3 linked regions of the Lonchura striata genome follow. The protein of the gene in region 1 purifies or fractionates together with the protein of each later gene. This does not show direct contact. Links are inferred from orthologs where the notes say so. Each region holds a gene or a part of one and is shown in the gene's direction. Other genes may lie near its edges. The genes, in order: FYN, CD36 and SKAP1.

The links.
Region 2: the proteins of FYN (region 1) and CD36 purify together in Homo sapiens (affinity purification with western blotting; 3 studies listed by BioGRID). This does not show direct contact. The link is inferred for Lonchura striata from reciprocal best matches to the Homo sapiens genes FYN and CD36.
Region 3: the proteins of FYN (region 1) and SKAP1 purify together in Homo sapiens (affinity purification with western blotting; 3 studies listed by BioGRID and IntAct, with this or other methods). This does not show direct contact. The link is inferred for Lonchura striata from reciprocal best matches to the Homo sapiens genes FYN and SKAP1.

What each region holds. Positions count from the first base shown.
Region 1 is NC_134605.1:68,271,083-68,279,284, forward strand, and holds the start of FYN (tyrosine-protein kinase Fyn), read left to right. Parts: upstream 1-5,024; 5' UTR 5,025-5,383; intron 5,384-8,202. UniProt on the Homo sapiens protein: Non-receptor tyrosine-protein kinase that plays a role in many biological processes including regulation of cell growth and survival, cell adhesion, integrin-mediated signaling, cytoskeletal remodeling, cell motility, immune response and axon guidance.
Region 2 is NC_134607.1:62,608,972-62,616,789, forward strand, and holds the start of CD36 (platelet glycoprotein 4), read left to right. Parts: upstream 1-4,259; 5' UTR 4,260-4,345; intron 4,346-7,818.
Region 3 is NC_134627.1:8,231,578-8,239,964, forward strand, and holds the start of SKAP1 (src kinase-associated phosphoprotein 1), read left to right. Parts: upstream 1-5,139; coding exon 5,140-5,182; intron 5,183-8,284; coding exon 8,285-8,387. UniProt on the Homo sapiens protein: Positively regulates T-cell receptor signaling by enhancing the MAP kinase pathway. Required for optimal conjugation between T-cells and antigen-presenting cells by promoting the clustering of integrin ITGAL on the surface of T-cells.

The sequences.
Region 1 (8,202 bases):
GTGTTGGTGTCTACCAATAAAGGAAGAAAGTAGTATTTAAGAATAAACTTGGGCTTTATTCTGCTATAGGAAGCCAGCCTTCCCAGCATTCCTCTGATGCTCAGCAGAGGGCTAATGCTGACAGCAGAAGGAGGACAATGGCACACCTTTATGTATATTATCTGTTCTTCATCTCTGCACAATTATGTGATGTAATATACACACTGCCTCCTGTATCTTTGAAAATATCCTATCCCAGAAGAGAACTGCTATATTCCTTGGCTGGATTATACATACAACAATTTACTGTCCTTATTCCACAGATTCCTCACCATCATTTAAAAAATATCTTTACTGAAAGTCAAAGCCTTCTACAAATTTTCAGAGAATTTTAAATGTTTATTTGAGTATGTAAAGTAAGAATAAGAAATGTTTTTCTGAGTTGGATAGGATGTGACTTCTAATAAATCTGGAAGTTATGAAAAATGGCTTTAATATTTTTCTGCTATTTCTGGATTTCCTAAGGTTGTCCCACATCTGTTTTTTCCCTTGTGTCAATGTGTAGCCACAGAGTGCAAACACATCTGGAAATTATAAACATGGAAATTTAACTTTTAGAAAATGCATGATGATGCCATTTAAATATGCTGTTCTTACAGTTTAACACCTGATTTGTTGGTTTCGGAAAACACCTGTGTAGCGTCTGAGGAAACATCTCTTCCAATTTTTGTTTCTGGGATAGTCTAAAACAGTTAGAAAAGCAGGCTTGTATGGATGTAAATATTTGAGATTAGAGCCTCTACAGCAATAAGGAAGGCCTCTTCTGTTTATTCCTTAAAGACATAAGGTAAAGACGTTTCTTCTATACACTTGCTCCCACAAATTATCTACCCAATACACAAATGCCAAAACGCTCTTTTCCTAGCTCTGCCAATATCCTTCCTTCAGCTTCTGTGTATTAGTGTGACTATTGCTGATGAGCATGATGAAGAGCTCAGTTCAAACCTTCCCTTCTGCTTCCAGGTTGCTGTTCACACCTCAAAGATGTTGTCCCCAGGGAGGCAGACCTATCACCTCAGCATTCCCTGGCAGTAATCACCTGTGAGTCAGCAAGACCCATTTAGCACTCCCCAGTTGAAGCACCTCCTGAAAATACAGTGGGATGTTTGAGGCAAATGCTGTCAGCCTCCTAAAATACTGTAGGCAAGTTCAGATCCCTTTCCCCCCACCCCACTACTCTGTAATTATTTATAATATGCTATACATGACAGGCTGGTAAAATACACCCAGTCAAAACCAAAACAAATGGAAGTGTTGCCAAGTTAGCAATGTAAAAAGGGAGGAAGTGTAAGACAGAAGATAAAACGGTGAGGCAGATTAGTGACCTATCAGTCTGTGACTGGTGTATTGGTTTGAATGAAGAATTTAAGCATGATGTTTCTTTATCCCTATGAAAGGTAATCTCAATATTAAAATTTTTTATTAATTAAAAAAAAAAAAAAAGAAAAAATAAAGACACTATAACATTTAATACTTTGGGGATCTTTTAAATTACAAGTTCATTAGGATCTGACTTTTACAAATTATGGCTCAGAAGAATCCCAAATAATTCTGATGGTTATTCCTGAGAGTCAGCCTAGTTTTACCAAGAGTGGTTTGACACAACCAAGGAAACTGAACTGATGTTCTGCCCTGTTCTACAAAAGAGCTGCTTTTACATCTCCTTGCTATTACAGCTGTGAATATGTTTGGCTGCTCAAAATATTACCTTTAATTGAAAACTGTGGATATTATTTATTCAAATACAGTCATGATGGCTGTCACTGACTTCTTGCCCACCGACAAGTCCAAAAGACACTTGTGTGTAATTTTGTGACTGCTATCCTGTATTTCCAGATGCTAAATTATTAATACAAATAAATCCTAACCAGAATCTGTAATTTTCATATTGCTGTGAGAAGCCATGTATCTCTACAGGGAGATAGGAGCAGGAAATAGGAAGGAGAGGACAAAATCTTGACGTCACATTGTTCAGTACAGACGGCTGCACATTTAAGGTTTTGACAGTATTTCCATGAAAATGACTGATGGAGAAGCAGCATTTCAATGGATATTATTTCAATATTTTAATGAATAACTGTTTTAAAGTGAGTTTGGAGAAAGGAGAAAATAGTTTGGCATGAGGAGGAAGGCTACACAGATGAAGGTGGGAGAACACAGTGTCATGAACTTAAAGTATTTAGAAAAGTTGAGAGAAAAGAGTATAAAGAACTGTTCCTGTGTCACATAGGTAAATTTAATTATTCCTTCTGTTTAAGTGGGAGGTTAACTGCCAGGTTTTCTGGGTGATTCCTGAAGGCAAATATTGATACAGTCAAACCATGGTGCTGAGCACTAAAGAACAAGACTTGTGTGAGGCTGTGGGGACATGTGGGCTTGACTCACACAGAGGGAACACTCCAGCACGTCTCACCCCTGCCACCGGGGCTGCAGGAGCCTGCAGCAGCTTTGTGATCCCAAGGGAAGTATAGGTACCCTACAGGGCAAACCCAAGGCTTCATCCTATGCTTCCTATGCAACTACCAGCACTTGATTCCTGGCTCCACACCTTATTCCTCTTCAGCTATATAAGCTCAGAATCAGACTTTTGATGACATGCTGCTGAGCCAGTTTTTCTGCCCAGGTTTACAGCAGCCCTGTGGCTGCTGTGTGATGTTCTTTTGGTCTGCTTTCATTGATTAGTTGGTTACTTTCTACTTTGGCTCAAAAAAGAGTATCAAGTAGGTTTTTCTCTATCTTTTTTTCCTTCTTTGTGTCATTCTAGTTTTCATTCAGAGCAAGAGCATTCAAAATTCAGACAAAGATTCTTTATTCATGCCTTTTTGATTATAAAACGAAGTGCATTTCTGTCCTGTAGCTTTTGCAGAAAGAATACCTGGTTGTTTGATTAATTTCCAAGGTGCTTAAGGTCCCTAAGAAACCTCTATTGACTTGTGGGAGGTAAGATTATGTGTAAACCTATAAAAAAGGCAAACAAGGCATGCAAAAATGCCCCTTTCCCTAGAACCACATGCTGACTTTCTGCTGAGGAGCCTGGAGTATTAAGACACCATTTGCAGTCCTGATGGTCTCCAAGCTGGAAGTCCATAAATCTGCCCTGCCTCCAAACTGCTCTGATGAAGCTCTGCTCTGCATGGACTGGTACCTGCTGCCTGCTGCTGGCCCAATGGCTGCAGCCTGAACTCCTCAAAGTCTGCAGCATCATGATCCCAATGGGTGTTTCTGGGACAGGCATAATCAGACTTCTCCACCAAGCTGCAGTTTTCATCCAACAGGAAGAAAATGGAAAGTTGTTTTTTCAGTTGAGCTATACATTTCTACTCTTGTGTTGATTATACCATTTACATGGTAAAAGAAATAATTAAAATCTGCATAGAAGGATTAGGATGGAAACTAAAAATGACCTACCTAGAAACCTGAAAAAGTTGTTTCTTTGTACATCTACAATGAGATCTACACTTCTCATTAAAATGAGAAGTGACACAAGTGACATTTTATTTCATAATTCCCCGTCTCCTCCAAATTCTTTATGTGAACTTGTGGAACAAACTCTGCTTCATCCTGAAATGTAATGATCAAGAGTCACCTACACATAACCTACACAATCACCCAGAAAGAGAAAGGAAAATCTTTCTTGCTCTGAGCACCCAGCTGTAGACATCTTGATAAGAAACAAGTTTCTATTTGAACTTGTAAAACTGTAATTTCATCAGGAAATCAAATTGCCAAGATAAGATAGTTCTCTGGTTAAATACCAGCATACAAAAATGAAATTCAGAGAGAAGTGGGAGAGAAATGTAAACCTCATTTATTGAAAACTTGTGTTATAGTTCTCTCTGCTATTTCAACATACTTAATTTTCTCTCCCTCTGCTCTTGTATTTTGTATGTCTCTCCTTTTCTTGTTGAAGTCTAAACTGCAATTTCTTCAGTCCTAAGGCAGAAGAGCTTTCCAAGCCTAGGAGACAAGTGACAGTGAGATGTGCCAATCTGTCAGTATGGGAGCACTCAAGGTCACAGACGGGGCGGGGCGGTGCTGGGGAGAGGACCTGAAGCTGGAGCATGTGGTGCTTTCAATGGGCGTTGGAGGTGGATGCAACACCTTGAGAAACGCTGGGAGCAATTACGGCTGAGAACCTGAAGGGAAACAAAGTGTACAGAGAACTTTTCCAATCACCTGCCTGCGGAGCAGGGTGTCCCGTGACTGGAGGACAGGGCTGCCCGCACATCTTTGACTACAGTGCAAGACCGAAGCCCCAGCCGCGCTGTGGGGACAGCAGGTACACCCCTGAAAGAACAGCTTCGTGGGGTGACGCTCCTCCCACAACAGCTCGCTGAATACTCCGCGATTAAATGTGGAAAATGGAATAAAACCATAACTCTGGAAAACCTCCGCGTATATTTCATTATCGCCGTTGCCGTATCACCCACTATTGCCAATTTCAAGAATTACGGATGAAAAAAACCGTAATAGTAAAACAAGCCGTCGTTTTACACAAAGACGCATAATCTGTTTGGGATTGTTCTCCCATTCATCGGGGATGTTGAGACGCTCGGCTCACTCTTCCCTCCTCCTCCCGAGGCGCCCCAGCGGCGCGCGGAGCATCGCGAACCGCTCCGGCGCTGGCAGCTGCCGGTCGCGAACCTCTACACAGAGCGACAACCCCTCATCTCCTTCCTGCTCCCTCCTCTTCGCCCCCGGTCCCCTTCCTTTCCCAGCCCGCGTCCGCCTCCGTCACGGCCGCGCCGGGCGCCCGGAGCGGCGGCCGCTGCCCGGGGGCGTCCATGGGCGCTGCCCGCCCGCGGCCGCGCGCCCCGCCTCCCCCGCCGCCCGCCAATCAGAGCGGCGGCTGCTGCGGACCGCGCCTCGCCATTGGCCGCCGACGCTGTCAGTCAGGGGCCGCCCCCGCGGAGGGGCGAGGCGGGCGGGGGGGCAGCCGGCTCCGGGCGGGCGAGCGGGGCCGGGCGGCGGCGGCGCTGCGGTTGCGCCATCTGTCAGGAGCCCCGGTGGGAGGGAGCGCCCGAGCCGCGCTCGCCCGGGCGGAGCGGAGGCGGCGGCAGCAGCAGCAGCAGCAGCAGCAGCAGCATCAGCGCGGACAGCCCGTGCGAGCTCATCCCTGCCCAGGCTGCGGCTGTGCCGCCGCACGGAGTCGCCGCCTCCGCGCCCGGCCGCGGCTCGGCGCAGCGCGACTGCCCCGGGGAGAGGCAGCGGCGCCCGGAGCGGCGCCCCTCGCTGCGGGCGGGCGGGGGCAGCCGGCGGAGGAGCGGAGCGAGGAGGATGCGAGTGCGGCGGCGCCGCCCCGGCCCCGCGCTGCGCTGAGCCTAGCCGAGCCCAGCCGCCTCAGGTAACGGAGGGGCCGGAGCCCGCCCGGGGGAGCGGGAGCGGGGGCGGGGGGATGCCTGCCCGCATGGATGGATGGATGCTGCGGCGGGTCTGTTTCCTTTGTGCGCCCGAGCGCTGACGGGGTGCGGGGGCTCCCGGCGAGGGGAGGCGGCCGCGCTGCTGCGGGTCTCCCCCGCGCACGCACACGCGGACCCCGCGCCCGCCTCCCCCGCCGGGAGCCGCGGCCGCAGCGCGGGCAGGGCCGGGGGCGGCGCCCGCGACCGCCCGAGCGCGGCCCCTGCGTGCCCGCGGGTCGCCCGTGTCGGGGTCCCCGCCCCCGCGGACACCGGCCGGGGAGAGGGGAGGGGGCGCAGCACAGGGACGTATTTGTTGTCGCCGAACTGCGAAAAAGGGGCGGGGGGGAAATAAATAAAAAGACCTTCTCTCCCTCTGAAATAAATCGTATAGGATTTGCGCGTCTATGACAAAGGCCTCTTTCAGGGAAGAAAGAAGGGACGCACAAAATGCCCAAGGGTGGTAGGATGTGAAAAGAGGCTTGTTTCTTGTGTCTCCCCTAGAGCCTCTCTGTTCCTTCCCAGACGAGGCCGCTGATCTGGTGCCAGTTCCTTTTCAGCTACATTTGAGATTAGGGAGAGATACCAAACGCCACACCATGGGTGCCAGCGTTTTGCTGCGTCTGCAGAGCCACAGTGTACGTGTCGCCCGACCTCCTTAATATTGTTCAGTTTGGCCTCTGTTCCTCGGGATCGCGCCTGATTTCTGCTCTGTGTGGATTCTGCGTGTGCGTGAGCTCTGGGAGAGGGCTGGCCAAGGAAGGGGGTCACTTTGTGGGAGCGAGCCCATGATACCTTGGTCCGTTCAGCAGTGACGGGGAGGGCAGGGCTGAGTAGGTGCTGGTGGAGAAGGTTTGGGCTGAGTGGAAAGCAACCCTCTGCAGTTGCTCATCCATCACTCTGATATGCTCTGATTCTTAAAATGCTAAATAACCAGTGACCAGGGCGGACCGGGCTTTTGAAATGCATGCAAGACTGGGAACGCCTTTGAGACCTTGTCATTTTCCTCCTTGTATACAACCTCCTTAACTCCCACATCCTTCCTTCCACCATCCTTGCAGCTGTAACACTTTTTAGGATCCCACCCCACCTTTTTTTTTTTTTTTTTCTTTTTTTTTTTTTTTTCTTTTTCTTTTTGTCTTGATGTCTTTTTAACTAGCGTTCTGGAAGCTAAGAACAGTTTCAGGTGAGGATCTGTTTGTTTATATGCTGGTGGAGGAAGTGTTTTCATTAGGTTTGACTGGTCTGGTCTCCCATGAGGAGGAACAGTAAGCTAAAGGGACACTGTCAACTTGAAATGCAGAGAATGTGCGTGATGAATGGAGAGCTGTGTCCAATATTACACCCACCGTTGAGCTCCCTGCTGGAGATCTGTGGTTTTTGTAAGCCTGTCTTCTGATTGTGTGGGTTGGTCATGCAGTGAAGGAGTAAAAACACACTTCAAACAAAGTTCTGTTAAGTGAACAAAGGAGTGCAGAAGAAAAATACCAGAGTGGGAAGGGAGGGAAGGCAACATCTCCAACTTCTCAGTTACATCCATTTTAGCCACTGCTTGACCCAGTGGGAAACTGGAGGGGCTACAGTTCATTTTTGCAGTTGCACATTTATTTAGTATCACTAAAGTGGAAAGGTTGTTACCTTTGCCCCAGTGATTCAGGAGTTTTCAGCACCTTGATGTGTGTGCTCAGAAAGCTGGTAGCACTTGATGGATGTCAGTAGGTCAGTGTCATTTCACAATATAAGAACATTTTAAGAATGGTATCTCTTGTGAAAAAGATACTGGTTACCTTCTTGAGCCCTTTTAACCCCAAAAAGCTATAATTTTGATGAAAAAGAGAAAGAAAGATAGCCTAATTAATGCTTTAGAAACTTGTATTTTGTTGATTCTAGACTGCAGATTTGTTGAAATGTTCAGATACTTAAAGGGTTGCCTGTAAGCATCCTTCCTCTCCACCTCCAACAAATTACTGCCTCCTCTGCATGGCTTGTCTTTGGCAAAATAAATAACTTTCAGTATGAAGTTGTCTGATGGTAGGCCACTGGCTGTGGTGTTTTGTGGTCTATGCGTCAGGCATGTTGTTTCAGAAATTCTATGTTGCCTGCTGGTGAAAGACATAGTGGCATAAAGTACCAGTTAAGTATAAAACCCTGAACAGCTTTCTCTGGAAATTATTTTGGTATTGAGTAAGTACGTGTCTTCAGTGAGGGACAAATGACTTTGGCATATGGGCATGGCAGTCAGTGTAAGCCAGAAATGAGTAAGGTGGTATAAAAAAGTTGATTATTAATCATTTTAACAAGTGTCTTTAAAAGTTAGGACCCAGTGATAAATTTCTAATTCATATGAGTAAGAAAAAATTGCTGGGGAACTAGTTATTTTTGACAGACTGATATAGATTCCACAATACTGTTATGTGAAATAGTTAAATGGTGTCATCTGAAATCATAAGTGGAGTCTGATATGGTGAGGGTGTCTGTGACCACTGGCCCTGTGGCTCAGCTGAATATACTAATCTGGACATGGTATCATTGGCACTGATTTACAGTTGAATAAAATTGTGGCTAAGGTGAGCGAAAACTGTCCAGCACATTTGTGATGATTTCACACTGTAATATGGTACATCTACAATATCATATGATTAATTGTCTTAAGCAAAGTATAGAGCTATTTGCCATCTTATGCCCAATTACTTTTATTTAACAGCACCTTCACTTTTCTGTCTTGCTGCATGACTGTGCTTTTACTTCAGGGAGAAAAAGTGTTGGA
Region 2 (7,818 bases), on another chromosome or scaffold:
GAGATTCTTGGAGAAGAAAACAGGGGTAAAAAGGAAGCACATGTAGAAAGGAAGGCAGAAGTCTGGCAACAAGCTGGAGGCTGCAGCTGTGAAAGGCACACAGGAAGCAATCAACAGGACTCCAAGAAGACCAAAGGTAGAACAACATTTACAGCATATGAGGACAGGTCAGAAAATATCCAGTTGAATGCAAATTTCAGGAATATTTTTTTTAATTCTTAAATTTTCCTCGTCACTTATTTTTTTGTCTAACTTTAGAGAAGCAGAAATTTCATCGGCTAAGAGGTTTATGTCATGCTGTGCCCCTTGAGTTACTACATATGGAGTTTTATAGCACCTGTCGTAATGACTCACCTCCAGGTCCCTGATAATCCTCTGGGGCAGCTGTTATCTTAAATATGAAAGCACTTGGCAGACAGGCTGATAACTTGCTTTTTGCTGTAACTTTCTGGAAGGAGGTCGTCAATAGGCTGTTCAAATAAAAAAATAATAATACCATGCTTAATTAATAATAATTTAATAATTTTAGAAAAGTATCAGCCCTGCTATGATAAAAGGATTTAGCAAAGATCCAAAAAGACAGGCAGAGGAGGCAATAGCCCTGCCACTTGTCCTAGATGTTTATTTAGACAACCAAATTCTGAAGGAAAGCCTGTGGAAATATTATAGAGCCCCATGAATTTTAACAGCTGTACTCACAGCTGGGATCCCTCATCCTGACCTGTCTCTCTGCTTGGTGTAAATAAACATAGTAAGCCCAAATCTGAAGAATTACCTCAATACGACATGTATTATCTGGCTTCCAGGACTTTGTGGGGATTAAATGGGATTAGTCTGTGTTTGCAAAGAGTTACTGCAAAGAGTCAATGGAACTTGCTCTGGGTTGGCAACAGGACCCAGTCCATTGCCTCCAAGTTCTGGGCTATTGCAGAGTCTGAAGGGACCAGAGGCAAAGGCTGGTCTTGAAAGGATTTCTTAGTATTGGTCTTGTAAAGCAAAAGTGTTGAGAAGGTATTATCTCGGGCTCAGAGGTTTCACAAGTCCTTATAACTTGAGACAGCTTACCTACAAGGGAGTTTAAAAGGCCTGTGCAACTTTCTGTTGTGGCTGATACAAGTTCAGCGGGGTGGTGGGGCACGGGGCAGCAGGGCTGCTTGGGGCTGATACAGCAGCTCTAATTTACTGTAAATTAGGAGGTAAATTTGCAGGCTCTTCTGCACCTCTGCAGTTCCTTGTGGCAAGAGTTGTGAGAGCAGCTCTCCCTCCATACAGGTACGTGATTCTGCTCCTGAGCTAGAGGCAGACTGAGCACACAGCTGGAAGTTGTAAAAACTTCTTGTAAGTGTATTGTTGCATCCTATAACTTACAAAGTGCTCCTAACTGCTAGTTATTGAAAGCAAAGAGAGATGTTATTGACTCTATTTCTTGACTGTCTATAAATCCAACAAAAGTCCATTCACTAAAATTTATAAAGAATAAGTATACTGGTAATCAAATTATTTAACTTGCTATCTTGATAATGTTGCATATATTGCTAATATTTCACTGTACATTGCAATTAGAAATAAATGTAATGAAACTAACAGCAAAAAATGTATTAATAATTTGCCTGTTAATCATTATCTTGTATATGAAAGTATATTATATAAACAACTAAATGCATACATTATAAAAATATGAGATGAGATATCAAGTTTGTGGCTGTATACATTTAATAACTGTGATATAAAGCAATAAATGAAAAATACTGTAATAATTATTCATTATGGAAATTGTATCATTATTAATTAGAGGAAAAAGCATATATATGCATTTCAGTGTAGTTTTAAGACTTTAATTTATGTGCATATGTACAAATATAAAATAATATATAATGTATAATAAATATGCTGATGTAATATAATTTCATTTATATATGGAAGTCCTGAGATCAACCCAATAAATATAGCATAATCATATGCTATTTTAATTATTTATTTTCTTGACAACTGACAAAATGGCTATAATTACTCAGTGAATTTTTTAATTTGGCAAAAATATCCTACTCATAAAAAAACGTGCAGTCTGTAGTTGCTTAGGTTGGGTTTTTTTCTGTGCTCAAGTGAGACTTCAAAAACATGTATATAATTGGCACAACCAGGAAAATGATCAGAAATGTAAGGGGTTTGGGTTAAATTGCTGTATTTTGCAACTACATTTTTTTTCTGTAACTGATAGTTATATGCATATTTCTGTAACATGTCTTCATCTGAAAGAATAATGCCATATTTAAGACTAAAAATTACATGATCTGAGAAGTTCAGGATATCTATTAATTCCTTCATTAATTTACTGCTAGTGCACAGAAATCACTTCTAGTACTTTTTCTACTGCTCTGTTCTTCATAGTGTTAATATTTCTCAGTAAACTGTGATATTACACAATTTTTCATAATCTCTGTAGATTTTCAGCTGCTGCCAAGGGATCTCCTGTGGCAAGGGTAATTTTATTTTTCAGTGTTGGGGTTTTTGTTTTGTGTCTGTGTGTGAATTATGTTTGAATCTTTTATTGTGGTAATTAAATATCTTCTCAAGAAAAATATGGAGAAAAGGAAAAAAAGTCCTTTTTTGTATCACAATAAATTTTTCTCTATTCCAGCCATCACTTCTGATTCCCTAAGTGGAATTGGCAGCTGCCCCAGGGTAGCTTCAGTCAAACTTTCTTCTTGTGCCTGATGAGGAGCAGGGCTTTTCCTAGCAGTAAGCTGATGGCTTGGCTTTGGTGTTTGAGGCTGGACTGAAGGCCCAGGGAAGAGCTTCTGTAAGTTGTTCAGACCAAGGACATGCTCCAGGTCTGGAACATGTAAACTGAAAGGTAAGGGTGTCAGTCATTTGACAGGTCTTCAGTACTTGAGAAATCACCAAGAAGTTGACCTTAAACTTAGGTCTTTACAACTGGAAAAATCCCCTGTACATATGTTGTTCCTAATTATTACAGAGACAAAATTACAGTGTAGCTGGTAGGCAAAAATTAACATAAGGACTACCCATTCAAAACCAGTGACATTGTCTGGGATGATTCATTATGGTGACTATTTCTCAACCAGGTATTGCACTAGTGAAAGATTTTAGAATTACTCCATTATTAAATGACTTCTGATCTAAGGAGAAGAGTTTTGCAAGAAGTGGAATATATCCAACTAGGGACAAGATTTGTTAAATTTCTCCTGGCTTTCAGAAGATGTTTGCTTTAAAATTTTTGTCTCTTGCCATTGGAGCCTCCTCTCTGTGCCCTCCTTGTGTTGTCTAAGACAAATTTTTTTCTCAGTAGCATTACCATATTACATTTCAGGGCCTGACTTGTTGCAAATGTCATAGACACAGGGAAGTAACAAAGATTGCGAAGAAGAATCTGCTATTGCAGGACACCAAAGATAAGAAGAAATTAAGAAAGCCAGCCTAACAATAATAGGATTGTAACACTGATGAGCACCAGGCCATCCAAGATAAGAAGTCATCTCAGCACAACTGAGAAATAGTCAAATACTAAACACTGAATATATTAGATAAGCAGAACATATAAAAATTAACAGCATATAAAGAATCCTTATCCTTTTTACTTGGGCTGATAACTTTGTGAATTCACCACACAATACCCATCTTTGTGCAAATATGAAATTTGAAATCCCTTGGCTCTGTGTGTGATTGGCTCACTGCACACTGGGTGATGAATTATAATTTTTGGGGCAACACTTATGTTTCAAAAACATTAATAGACCAACACAACCCTTTCAGTAAGAGATTTTCATAGACATTCACGGTTTGATACTCACAAGAAACTTTTATTATAATATTACAGTTTCTGTATTTGATTCTGTTTTAATAAGTTCCCTCCTATCTATCTGCTGAGTTAGTCTGACATAAACCCACAGGACTGGAAGAATCAGTCTGGTCTATCCCTGCTGCTCTTGGGATTTCTTCACCTAATCCCCCTGCTAGAATCACTTGAAAACAAATTTTAAAAGTGATTTTGAGGACTGAGAAAGGCAGTAGCTTATGCATGCCAAAAACAGTGAAGAGCCCAGAAGCAATATATCTAGGGGAAAAAACAACTTAAGCAATTTCTGGGTTTTCTATCACCCATTTTCCCCTTAAAGAGTTTCATTACAGTTTGACAGAGGAACTCATCAGTGGCAGGAGCCAAATATATCACACTGTTTCCAGTGTACTGCTGCCAAGCTGGCTTGAGCCACTGGTATTTTAGGATGTTTTTCCATATCGTCAGGACACATTGGGAACCACAAGGGACAGGACCTTAGATCCTAACACTTAACAGAGCTGGGAAAGATACGTCTGGGAGTCTCTGGTGGGTAATGAAGGAGCTACACAACAGTTTGATAAGAGTCTTCCAAGCTCTTGTGAAGAAAATAAGATATTAATGCATGTTGTGGAGGATACTTTTTTCAGGAGGTTGAAGAATGGCTGATATGAGTGGTTGGAGTATGACTCAGGGCATGCATTGGCAATCCTTGAAGGCCAACACAGCAGTGGTAAAATCTGTGATGTGAGCTGAGCAAAAAACCGTAATAACATGTCTGCAGTCTTTGTCCAAACTTTCCATTAATGCCAACTGGTAAATATTTTGGAGTTTTCTTCTTGAATTTTCTTTGTTTCATAACTTGTATGCATTTAGCAGAACCTTGTAGAGCTATTCTGGTACCATCAGTATGGTGCACTGATGAGGAGAGGAAATGAAAGACCTGTCTGGGGACTTTGAGTGGAATTGCTCTAACTTTAACATTCGAATCATTAGATGCCTAACTTAAGTCCATTGTTTAGATGCTTTGCAGTTAAAGGGGAGCCTTTAACTGCAGTACCTCTAAAAGATATGCACTCCCTGGAACTGTTCAAAAATAAATAGCTGTAGCACTTATGGTTTAGTGAACATGGTGGTACATGGTCAAAGGTTGGCAGTATTTTCCAGGCCTAATGATTGTATGATTGTATGATTCTATATAGTCTTGTCTAAGAAAATATTTCAAGTACATTCATCTCTAGTGAGAGGAAAGAAAATAAATTTTTCTCCAGATGCCTACTTTTAGCTGGGTAAGTTTATCGGTAACAAGTATTTGGAACTAACTTAAACAAGAAAAGAAAACAACATGAAACTATGCCCTTCTTTTATTTTAGAGCTGTATAGATAAGATAGTAAAAGGAATACTGAAACAACTAAGATATCTTTGTTCTTCCTTTATTTATGTAAAGTGACCTGACTTATAAAACTCTGTTCTATCCTATGGCTTTTGGAAAATCAGGTCACACAAAAGAACAGTCACTGTGAGAACAGATGAGACAGAAATAGTGAATGTGGAATTCAGGAATGATATTAGTTCTGTATTATTATTTTATTATTTTGTGTGTTTTTTATTCATGTTCTTTACTTGCAATACCTGAAGATACACGTCCACTCTAGAATGGCTCTTTTGAAGTAGAAGTGCAGTGAATTGTTGAATTTTCTCATGTACTATGTGATGATGTGATATACAGAAGGTTTTAATTTCTTTAGGAAATCAAATTAACTTTAATGGATACAAAATATCGATTAAAGTATCCCTATAAAGAAATACCTCTTAGTATCTCCAGTACACACAATAAGACAAAAGTCTCACCCAGCTCGTGGCATATTGCACACTTTTCTTTTTTCTCCTCCCAATGTTTCATTTGCATCATTCTCCTTCTCAGTAGAACTAAGGGCACATGGGTGAACACGACTGTGTGAATCAGAAATAACTTATTTGGGGACAGAAGCCATAGGTTATTTCTTTTTTTTTTTGTGCACGTGAAAAGTTTGTCTCCTTTTGAGGGGGGCAGGTTTAATTATTTAATCTTTCACTACTGAGCAAGATACAACCCTTCCTGTGGGACTTTCCCACTTCCTGTGAAGAAGCCAGAGGGTTACTGAGTGGTGACAACAGGATTTTCAGTAGAAATAATAGAAACCACTATTAGCATCATAAAATGATGCTAATAGTATAACCTGGATAAGCAATACATTTGTGCATTAATTTACCATGGAAAGCAGGTTAATATAATTTGTCTCAAAACCAGGGAGAGTACCCAAAAGCTTATAGAAAATCGTGTTTTAGATACTGAAAATATTAGCCTAATCTTTTGCCCCAGGGATTGGCATTTTACCTAACAATAACAGAGTAGGTTTTGTTGGATGTTTTTTAACAGTTAATGTCTTTAAAAAGTTCAGAGGGTGCAAAAGTAGAGACAGGATTTTCTTGGAGCTTTCTAATTTGCTTTCTAATGTCACCTAACATATGCTAACATTTCCACATCTGAAAAAGAATTAATGTTAACACTAGTTTTTATAAGATTCATAATAGGCAGTGGAAGAAAAATTCTAAGTGTAATAACTGGGAAACACAGGAATATAAACTCATGATGTGCTACACTGTGCAACAAAGAATTCCTACAGGAATGTGGGAATGTTTATGTAATCATCTTGAAAATTCAAATTGTATGTATACCATAAATGTATGTCTGATAGAATAGATCTTAATATTAAAAAAAAAAAAATGGAAAAGAAAAAGAAAGAGAAAGGGGGAGACAACCTATTTAGGAGTCTGAAGGCATGTAGGATAGCACCCCAAAGAAACTGTTTTCCAAAGGGCCTACTATGAGATATATACAAAAACTATAAATAACCCTCATCTCTTCAGCATTTTCTTGTAAGTAGTATGTTTCCTCCAGAAAATGTATGTGGACTTCATTTGGAAATAAAAATATCACTTCCCATTTTTGCATTCTGCAGTTTTCTGTGTCTTCATGAGGCATGTGAGTGTCATGTACTCTGTTTCTTCTTTTTGACTTTTCCTTGTGGAGCAGTTTGTTTGTGGTTGCACCACTAGGGACTATCATGAACTACACAGCTGTTTGGTTTCTGTGTCCTCCTTCTGTTGCTGTGTGTCTCTACTTTCTCCTCTGCAACCTCTGAACTCTAATATGAAGTCAAAGGACATAGGACCATTAAATACTTATGGTTTATTTCAGTTTGTTTTTAAGAAACAGGAATGACTGACATCCAAAAGTTTACATCTTCCCTTCCAGATTTCCATCCTTTTAGCTGGTTTCTGCAGTAGAACCAGGCAGTCCTCATTTCATTCCTCATTTCACTGCCAAGCACTGCTGCTGGAAGAGATTTTGCTTATGCAGGATGACAGTAGGATATTGTAAATCATAACATTGGGTGGTACAGCTGAGCATGCATATGTTGAAAACTGAACATCATTACGTCAACAGTAGCATATTCCAACAAAAAATCCCAGTAGATATTTTCCTCATGAAGGAAAATATCACTGACTTCCACACACTGCAAACAGAGAAAATGAGCATGGTAGGGAACCTCTCCACAGGGCAGTAGTGATCCCAAAAAAGAACATCCTCAGGAAACCATCCAAGGACGACATGTACAATAGAAACAATTACTGACAATAAAAGTAGTTCATGGTGAGCACAGTGTGGAGCAATGCTTAACTTTCAGTAGTTAAACTTCCCTTTTTAATCAGAAAATAGAGGAAAACAAGATTTCTGCACTTTTCAAGGATGAGAAACTGGAGTTATTCAGGGTCCTGAGCTTGCCCTGGCAGCAAGCCTTTTATTGAAAACTGCACAAAAAGTTGTTTTCAAATGACCAGTCTCACTTTCAGCCTTGCCTTCACTACTAGGAGGTGAAAACCTCACATTTATTAATTTTCATCCACCTTAGATTTACTTAGCAGAAATAGATTTGAAAAAGGCAGATTTTCCCACAAAAGCTAAGCTTCCAAGTAG
Region 3 (8,387 bases), on another chromosome or scaffold:
ACCCGCCCTTCCTTATTCCCAAAAAATTCCCTTATCTCGGATCCCGGGCGCAGCCCAGCCCTGCTGCGGGAGATGTTGCATTAATTACATTTTTAAACATTTTTTACATTTTTTTCCCTCCTCTCTGAGATCAAAGCTCGCGGCGCCTCTCCCCCAAACTTCCTCTTCTTTTGTTCTCATGAACATTTTTGTGGTTTTTAAATTTTCCCCCCTCCTCATTTTCCTTCTATTTATTCATGAGGAATTTCTTATTCCTTTTATATTTTTAAAAATTTATTTAATATTTTTAAATTACTTTTTTAATTCCGAGCAGCTGCTGCGGCTCCGATGGAATTCTGCTGGGCTCCAGGGACGGCTTTTCATCTTCCCTGGCCGGGAATGCAGCTCAAAATCCAGGAATTTCGGATTTTTATGGAATTCAGAGGGAATTCTCCCCACTTTTCCACCGGCCAGGCCTGGTTCTGAGGGAATCCTGAACATCCCAAATCCCAGATTTCTGCTTCCCGCTCTTATCCCTCCAAAATTCCGATTTTTGACGCCCTTTCCATGCGTTTTGAGGAGTCGGGCCCGGAAAGTGGAACCAGGCTTTGCTTTTAACAAAACCCTCCCGGCATCACGGAATATTCCCCGCCGGAAACTCCGACCCCAGCGATCACCCAAACCCCAAAAATTCCCATGGGAAGCTCCTCCCGGCAGGAATTTTTTCCTGTCAGGAGGCACGGAGCAGAAATTCCGTGGGAATAAAGATTTCACCTCCCACAAAATCGGGGTTTTCTTTGAGCCAGGTTTATTTTTTTTTGGAGATTTGGGAACGCCCTCCTGGGCTCAGGATTGGGATTTTTCCGGCGGGATGAGGCCAAAATTTGGGAATTTGGAGTCAGAACCCCAAATCTGCCCCGAATTCCCTCAGCCTGGGCCTGCTCTCCCTGCTCCCACAGGGAAGGGGAGGAGAGATTCCCTGGGGAATTCCCAGCTTTATTATCCATATTTTCCATATTCCCTGTATTTCCCAGCTTTCCCAGCTTTATTATCCACAATTTCTATATTCCCCATATTTCTCAGCTTTCCCTGCCTTCCCCACTTTCCCAGCTTTATTATCCATGTTTTCCATATTCCCCAGTTTTCCCAGCTTTCCCAGCTTTATTATCAATATTCCCTGTATTCCTCAGCTTTTCCAGCTTTTCCAGCTTTATTATCCACATTTTCCATATTCCCCGTATTTCCCAGCTTTCCCAGCTTTATTATTCATATTTTCCATATTCCCCGTATTCCTTGTATTTCCCAGCTTTTCCAGCTTTATTATCCATATTTTCCATATTCCCCGTATTCCTTGTATTTCCCAGCTTTTCCAGCTTTATTATCCATATTTTCCATATTCCCCATATTTCTCAGTTTTCCCAGCTTTATTATCCATATTTTCCATATTCCCTGTATTCCCCATATTTCCCAGCTTTCCCAGCTGTCCCAGCTTTTCCATATTTTTCATATTTCCCAGCTTTTCCATATTTCCCAGCTTTTCTAGCTTTCCCAGCTTTTCTAGCTTTTCTAACTTTTCCATGGAACACTGGCCTGGCCTTTCCCAGCCCTTTTCCAGTCTGGAATTTCCATAGAACGTTGGCCTGGCCTTTCCCAGCCCTTTTCCAGCCTGGAATTTCCATGGAATGCTGGCCTGGCCTTTCCCAATCCCGGGGCCAGGAGCTGCGGAATTCCAGCGCCATGGAATGGTTTGGGTGGGAAGGAGCTGGAATTCCACCCAGCCCCATCCAGGGACAATTCCAGCCTGGCCCGAGGCAATTCCTGGGACAATTCTGGGACAGATTCCCTGGAAATTCCAGCCCAGCCCATTGCAGGGAGCAATTGTTGGGAAAAACAATCCTAAAAGGCATCAGGGTTTGATTCCATCCCAAACCCTGAGCAGGGCTGTCCTTTAGGAATTCCCCACTGGATTCAATCCCAAATTCTGAGCAGGGCTGTCCTTCTCTCATTTCCCCCCCAATATTCCCAATATTCCCAGTGGGACCAAGGCTCTGCCTCTCCCATTTTCCTCCTGATATTCCCAATATTCCCAGTGGAAACAGGGCTCTGCTTCTCCCATTTTCCCTCCAATATTCCCAGTGGGAACAGGGCTCTGCCTCTCCCATTTCCCCCCCAATTTTCCCCAATATTCCTGATAGGAAAAGGGCTCTGCTTCTCTTGTTTTCCCCCCGATATTCCCAATATTCCCAGTGGGAACAGGGCTCTTCCTCTCCCATTTTCCCCCCAATTTTCCCAAATATTCCCGATATTCCTGACATTCCCAACAGGACCAGGGCTCTGCCTCTCCCGTTTTCCCCCCAATTTTCCCAAATATTCCCGATATTCCTGACATTCCCAACAGGACCAGGGCTCTGCCTCTCCCGTTTCCCCCCAAATATTCCCGATATTCCCGACATTCCTGACAGGACCGGGGCTCTGCCTCTCCGTTTTCCCAGCTCCGTTTCCATGGTTACTCCCAATCCCGCCTCCGTTTTTCGGGAAATCGCATTTCCCAAGGATGCCAGCCGGGCTCAGCCGGGCCCTGCGAGGATCCAGGTGGGAATTTTCTCCCGTGGGGAGGAGGTTTTGAATCCGGAATCCCCAAATTTGGGATGCTGCGGGCACAGGACGGTGCCAGGCTCCCCCCTCTCCTTCCCAGCTGACCCCAAAGCCAAATCTGTGACCGTTCCAAAATCCAAAAATTGAAGTGGTGAGGAAAAAGAGGGAAGGAAAAAAAAAAAAAAAGGTCATTTCCTTGGAAATTGGGAAAATCCTTTCCCTGAGACCCTACCTGAGATATTTTTATTTTCTGTTATTTTTATTTCCTGCCTTTAATTCCCTAAATCCCACCTCAGGAGACCCTACCTGGCCAGGAGATTTGAGGAGCAGCTTTTGACAGGGAAAAAAATCCAAAATTATCTCCCAAAAAAGGTTTGGAAATCCTTAAATCCCAACCATACCTGTCAGGGAGATTTGAGGAGCAGCTTTTGACAGGGAAAAAATCCAAAATTATCTCCCAAAAAAGGCTCCTAAATCCCTAAATCCCAACCATACCTGTCAGGGAGATTTGAGGAGCAGCTTTTGACAGGGAAAAAATCCAAAATTTTTCCAGAGAAAAGGCTCAGAATTCCCTAAATTTGAGCCCCACCTGGACAGGACATTTGAGGAGCAGCTTTTGACAAGGAAAAACCCAAATTTTGCCCCAAAAAAGGCTCAGAATTTCCTAAATCCCAACCATACCCAGCCAGGACATTTGAGGAGCAGCTTTTGACAAGGAAAAACCCAAATTTTGCCCCAAAAAAGGCTCAGAATTTCCTAAATCCCAACCATACCCAGCCAGGACATTTGAGGAGCAGCTTTTGACAAGGAAAAACCCAAATTTTGCCCCAAAAAAGGCTCAGAATTTCCTAAATCCCAACCATACCCAGCCAGGACATTTGAGGAGCAGCTTTTGACAAGGAAAAACCCAAATTTTGCCCCAAAAAAGGCTCAGAATTTCCTAAATCCCAACCATACCCAGCCAGGACATTTGAGGAGCAGCTTTTGACAAGGAAAAACCCAAATTTTGCCCCAAAAAAGGCTCGAGGCCCCCCAAAGGCCAGCGGAGCGGCTCCTGTGATATTCGGATTTTCCACCTCTGCTCGGGGCCCCCGGGCTGCGTTTCCTGTGTTCGAGGCCTCAGCATCCGCTGCCAAATCTCCATTTTTGGGGCCGTTTCGGTGCTAAAGCTGGGCCGGGCTGCAGGGGGGAGGGGCAAACCCTGATTTTCCCACCCGGCACAGAAAGGGTTAAAAAAATCCGTTGGGAAATGCCGGGTGGGAAAGTTTGGGAATGACGTGGCAGCGACAGCTCCGAGGTTTTGGGTCCCAGATCTGGAGAATCCCCCGGTGCTCCCTCTGTCCCCAAAGGAAAAAAAAACCCCAAAATCCCAAAATCCAAAAAAATCCAGCAGGGAATTTTCATGGAAATTTGCCTTTTGTGGGCCCTTCTCCGTAAAATCACCCTCCTTGAAAAACGGGATTGCTGAGGTGCAAATCCCAACCCAAAATGGCCCCAAAATATCCCCAAAAGGACTCTGGAGCTGCTTTGGGGTTTCTCCTTCGGCTCCACGACCCCAAATCCCGACCCCAAAAACTCGGGATCCCCCCGGCACCTGCTCCTTGTCTGCTTTGTGCTGAGAAATGAAAAAGAAATTGAATTTTTTCCTTTATTTCTTGGAAAAGCAGGGCCCAAAACACCCGGGAGCACCTGGAGGAGCAGCTCTGGATTTCCAGGAGTATTTCCATGTGGAAATTTCCAAATTTAGAAGTATCTTTCCCGTATTTCCACATGGAAATTTCTGAATTTCCAGGGATATTTCCCACATTTCCCTATGGAGGAGCATCTCCATATTTCCGTGGATATTTTCCATATTTCCACATAGAAATCTCCAAATTTCCAGGGATATTTCCCACATTTCCTTATGGAGGAAATCTCAATGTTTTCAGGAGTATTTCCTTTCAGAAATCTCCCACATTTCCAGGAGTTTTTCCATCTTTTCCCTATCCCAGGTGATTTTTTTTCCCAACCCAACCTCTTTTCCACGCAGAAAATGGGAAAAGGGGAAATCTCATCCCAGATCATCCCCTTTTTTCCACCATTGGAATTTTTGGGGTGGCAAACCTGGAAAAAATCCCAGTTTTGGGGGCAGGAACAGCCCCAGGGAAACTCCAGATGAGCTCTGGGAGGAAATTCCAGCCGGGAATTCCAATTCAGCTTTTCCTCTCTGGAATTTTTGGGGTGGCAAACCTGGAAAAATCCCAATTTTTCGGGCAGGAACAGCGCGAGGAAGCTCCGGGAGGAAATTCCAGCCGGGAATTCCAGGCGGAGCTCCTTGGCTGGAGTTCAGCTTTCCCCACCGGAATTTTTGGGATGGCCCAGGACAGCTGGGAAGGATCCCGGGGATCCGCTGGGGTTGAAGGCGAGGAGGAGGAAGCCAAACCCCAAAGGTTCCTCCTCGTTTTTGGGGTGTCCCCGCCCTCGCGGCTTCCTCCCCGTCACCCCAGAGCCGGCGCGGCCCCGGTGGGACGCGATCCCGAGGATCCCGAGGATCCCGTGGATCCCGTGGAGGATCCCATGGATGCCATGGACGCCCCGATCCCAGAGGAGATCCGGCGGCTCCTGGAAGGTGACGGATCCCTCCTCGCCCCGTGGGCAGCGCGCTGGGGCTGGCCGGGGTTGGGGTGGCTTTTCTGGGCACCTTTGGGCTCTTCAGGGGTCCTGGGACCTCCCCGGCCCTGACCCCAAAATTTGGGGGCTGTGGGGCCTCCCTGATCCCAAAAATTTGGGGGTTGTGGGGCCTCCCTGATCCCAAAAATTTGGGGGTTGTGGGGCCTCCCTGACCCAAAAATTTGGGGGTTGTAGGGCCTCCCTGATCCCAAAAATTTGGGGATTGTGGGGCCTCTGTGACCCCAAAAATTTGGGGGTTGTAGGGCCTCTGTGACCCCAAAATATGGGGGTTGTGGGGCCTCTGTGACCCCAAAATTTGGGGGTTGTGGGGCCTCCCTGACCCAAAAGTTTGGGGATTGTGGGGCCTCCCTGATCCCAAAATTTGGGGGTTGTAGGGCCTCTGTGACCCCAAAAATTTGGGGGTTGTGGGGCCTCCCTGACCCAAAAATTTAGGGGTTGTAGGGCCTCTGTGACCCCAAAAATTTGGGGGTTGTGGAGCCTCCCTGACCCAAAAATTTGGGGGTTGTGGGGCCTCCCTGACCCAAAAATTTGGGGGTTGTAGGGCCTCTGTGACCCCAAAAATTTGGGGGTTGTGGGGCCTCCCTGACCCAAAAATTTGGGGGTTGTAGGGCCTCTGTGACCCCAAAATTTGGGGGTTGTAGGGCCTCCCTGACCCAAAAATTTGGGGGTTGTGGGGCCTCCCTGACCCCAAAATTTGGAGGTTGTGGGGCCTCCCTGACCCAAAAATTTGGGGATTGTAGGGCCTCTGTGACCCCAAAATTTGGGGGTTGTAGGGCCTCTGTGACCCCAAAAATTTGGGGGTTGTGGGGCCTCCCTGACCCAAAAATTTGGGGGTTGTGGGGCCTCCCTGATCCCAAAAATTTGGGGGTTGTGGGGCCTCCCTGACCCAAAAATTTGGGGGTTGTGGGGCCTCCCTGACCCAAAAATTTGGGGATTGTAGGGCCTCTGTGACCCCAAAATTTGGGGGTTGTGGGGCCTCTGTGACCCCAAAATTTGGGGGTTGTAGGGCCTCTGTGACCCCAAAAGCTTGGGGGTTGTGGGGCCTCCCTGACCCAAAAATTTGGGGATTGTGGGGCCTCCCTGATCCCAAAAATTTGGGGGTTGTGGGGGCTCTGTAACCCCAAAAATTTGGGGGTTGTAGGGCCTCTGTGACCCCAAAATTTGGGGGTTGTGGGGCCTCCCTGACCCAAAAATTTGGGGGTTGTAGGGCCTCTGTGACCCCAAAAATTTGGGGATTGTGGGGCCTCCCTGATCCCAAAAATTTGGGGGTTGTGGGGCCTCCCTGACCCAAAAATTTGGGGGCTGTGGGGCCTCCCTGACCCAAAAATTTGGGGGTTGTAGGGCCTCTGTGACCCCAAAAATTTGGGGATTGTGGGGCCTCCCTGATCCCAAAAATTTGGGGGTTGTGGGGCCTCCCTGACCCAAAAATTTGGGGGCTGTGGGGCCTCTGTGACCCCAAAAATTTGGGGGCTGTGGGGCCTCTGTGACCCCAAAAGCTTGGGGGTTGTGGGGCCTCCCTGACCCAAAAATTTGGGGGCTGTGGGGCCTCTGTGACCCCAAAAATTTGGGGGTTGTGGGGCCTCTGTGACCCCAAAAATTTGGGGATTGTGGGGCCTCCCTGACCCAAAAATTTGGGGGTTGTGGGGGCTCTGTGACACCAAAAATTTGGGGGTTGTAGGGCCTCTGTGACCCCAAAATTTGGGGGTTGTGGGGCCTCCCTGATCCCAAAAATTTGGGGGTTGTAGGGCCTCTGTGACCCCAAAAATTTGGGGGCTGTGGGGCCTCCCTGGCCCTGACCCCCAGGAGAATTTGGGGGTGACCTTGAGGAGAATTTTGGGATTGTGGGGCCTCCCTGACCTCAGACATTCCCAGATTTCCTGAACCCTTTCCCATTCCCAGATTTCCTGCCCCTTCCCAGGCCCAGCTTTCTTTCCCAGGTCCAGATTTCCTAAACCCTTTCCCAGCTTTCTTCTCCCTTCCCAGATTTCCTAAACCCTTTCCCAGATCCAGGTTTCCTGACTGTTCCCAAGTTTCCTAAACCCCTTCCCGGTTTCCTAAATCGCATTCCCAGTTTTCCTAAATCCTTTCCCAAACCCACTTTCTGTCTCCAAGGCCATGTATCCCTGATTTTCCTGCCATTCCTGGATTTCCTGCCCTTCCCAAATTTTCTAAATCCCTTTCCCAGTTTTGTTCCCCTTCCCAAACCCACTTTCCCTCTCCACGATTTTCCCAGCCGTTCCCACATTTCCTTCCCCTTCCACATCCATTTTCCCTCTCCAAGGCCGCGTATCCCCAATTTCCCCATTCCCATTCCCGGATTTCCTTCCCCTTCCCACCCCCATTTCCCCCTCCAAGGCCGCCTATCCCATTTTTCCCATTCCCACATTTCCTTCCCCTTCCCACCCCCATTTCCCCCTCCAAGGCCGCCTATCCCATTTTTCCCATTCCCGGATTTCCTTCCCCTTCCCAATCCCATTTCCCCCTCCAAGGCCGCCTATCCCACTTTTCCCATTCCCATTCCCGGATTTCCTTCCCCTTCCCACCCCCATTTCCCCCTCCAAGGCCGCGTATCCCACTGTTCCCATTCCCATTCCCGGATTTCCTTCCCCTTCCCACCCCCATTTCCCCTCTCCAAGGCCGCGTATCCCGCTGTTCCCATTCCCATTCCCGGATTTCCTTCCCCTTCCCACCCCCATTTCCCCTCTCCAAGGCCGCCTATCCCGCTGTTCCCATCCCCATTCCCACATTTCCTTCCCCTTCCCACCCCCATTTCCCCCTCCAAGGCCGCCTATCCCGCTGTTCCCATTCCCATTCCCGGATTTCCTTCCCCTTCCCAATCCCATTTCCCCTCTCCAAGGCCGCCTATCCCATTTTTCCCATTCCCGGATTTCCTTCCCCTTCCCAATCCCATTTCCCCGTCCAAGGCCGCCTATCCCGCTGTTCCCATTCCCATTCCCGGATTTCCTTCCCCTTCCCACCCCCATTTCCCCCTCCAAGGCCGCCTATCCCGCTGTTGCCATTCCCATTCCCGCTTTTCCAGAGGCTGAGGCTTTCCTGGGCCGGGCTCTGCGGGAGGAGGCGCTGAGCGCGCGGGCGCGGGAGCAGCGCGACGCCGTCCTGGGCTCCTTCCAGCGCCTCCGAGC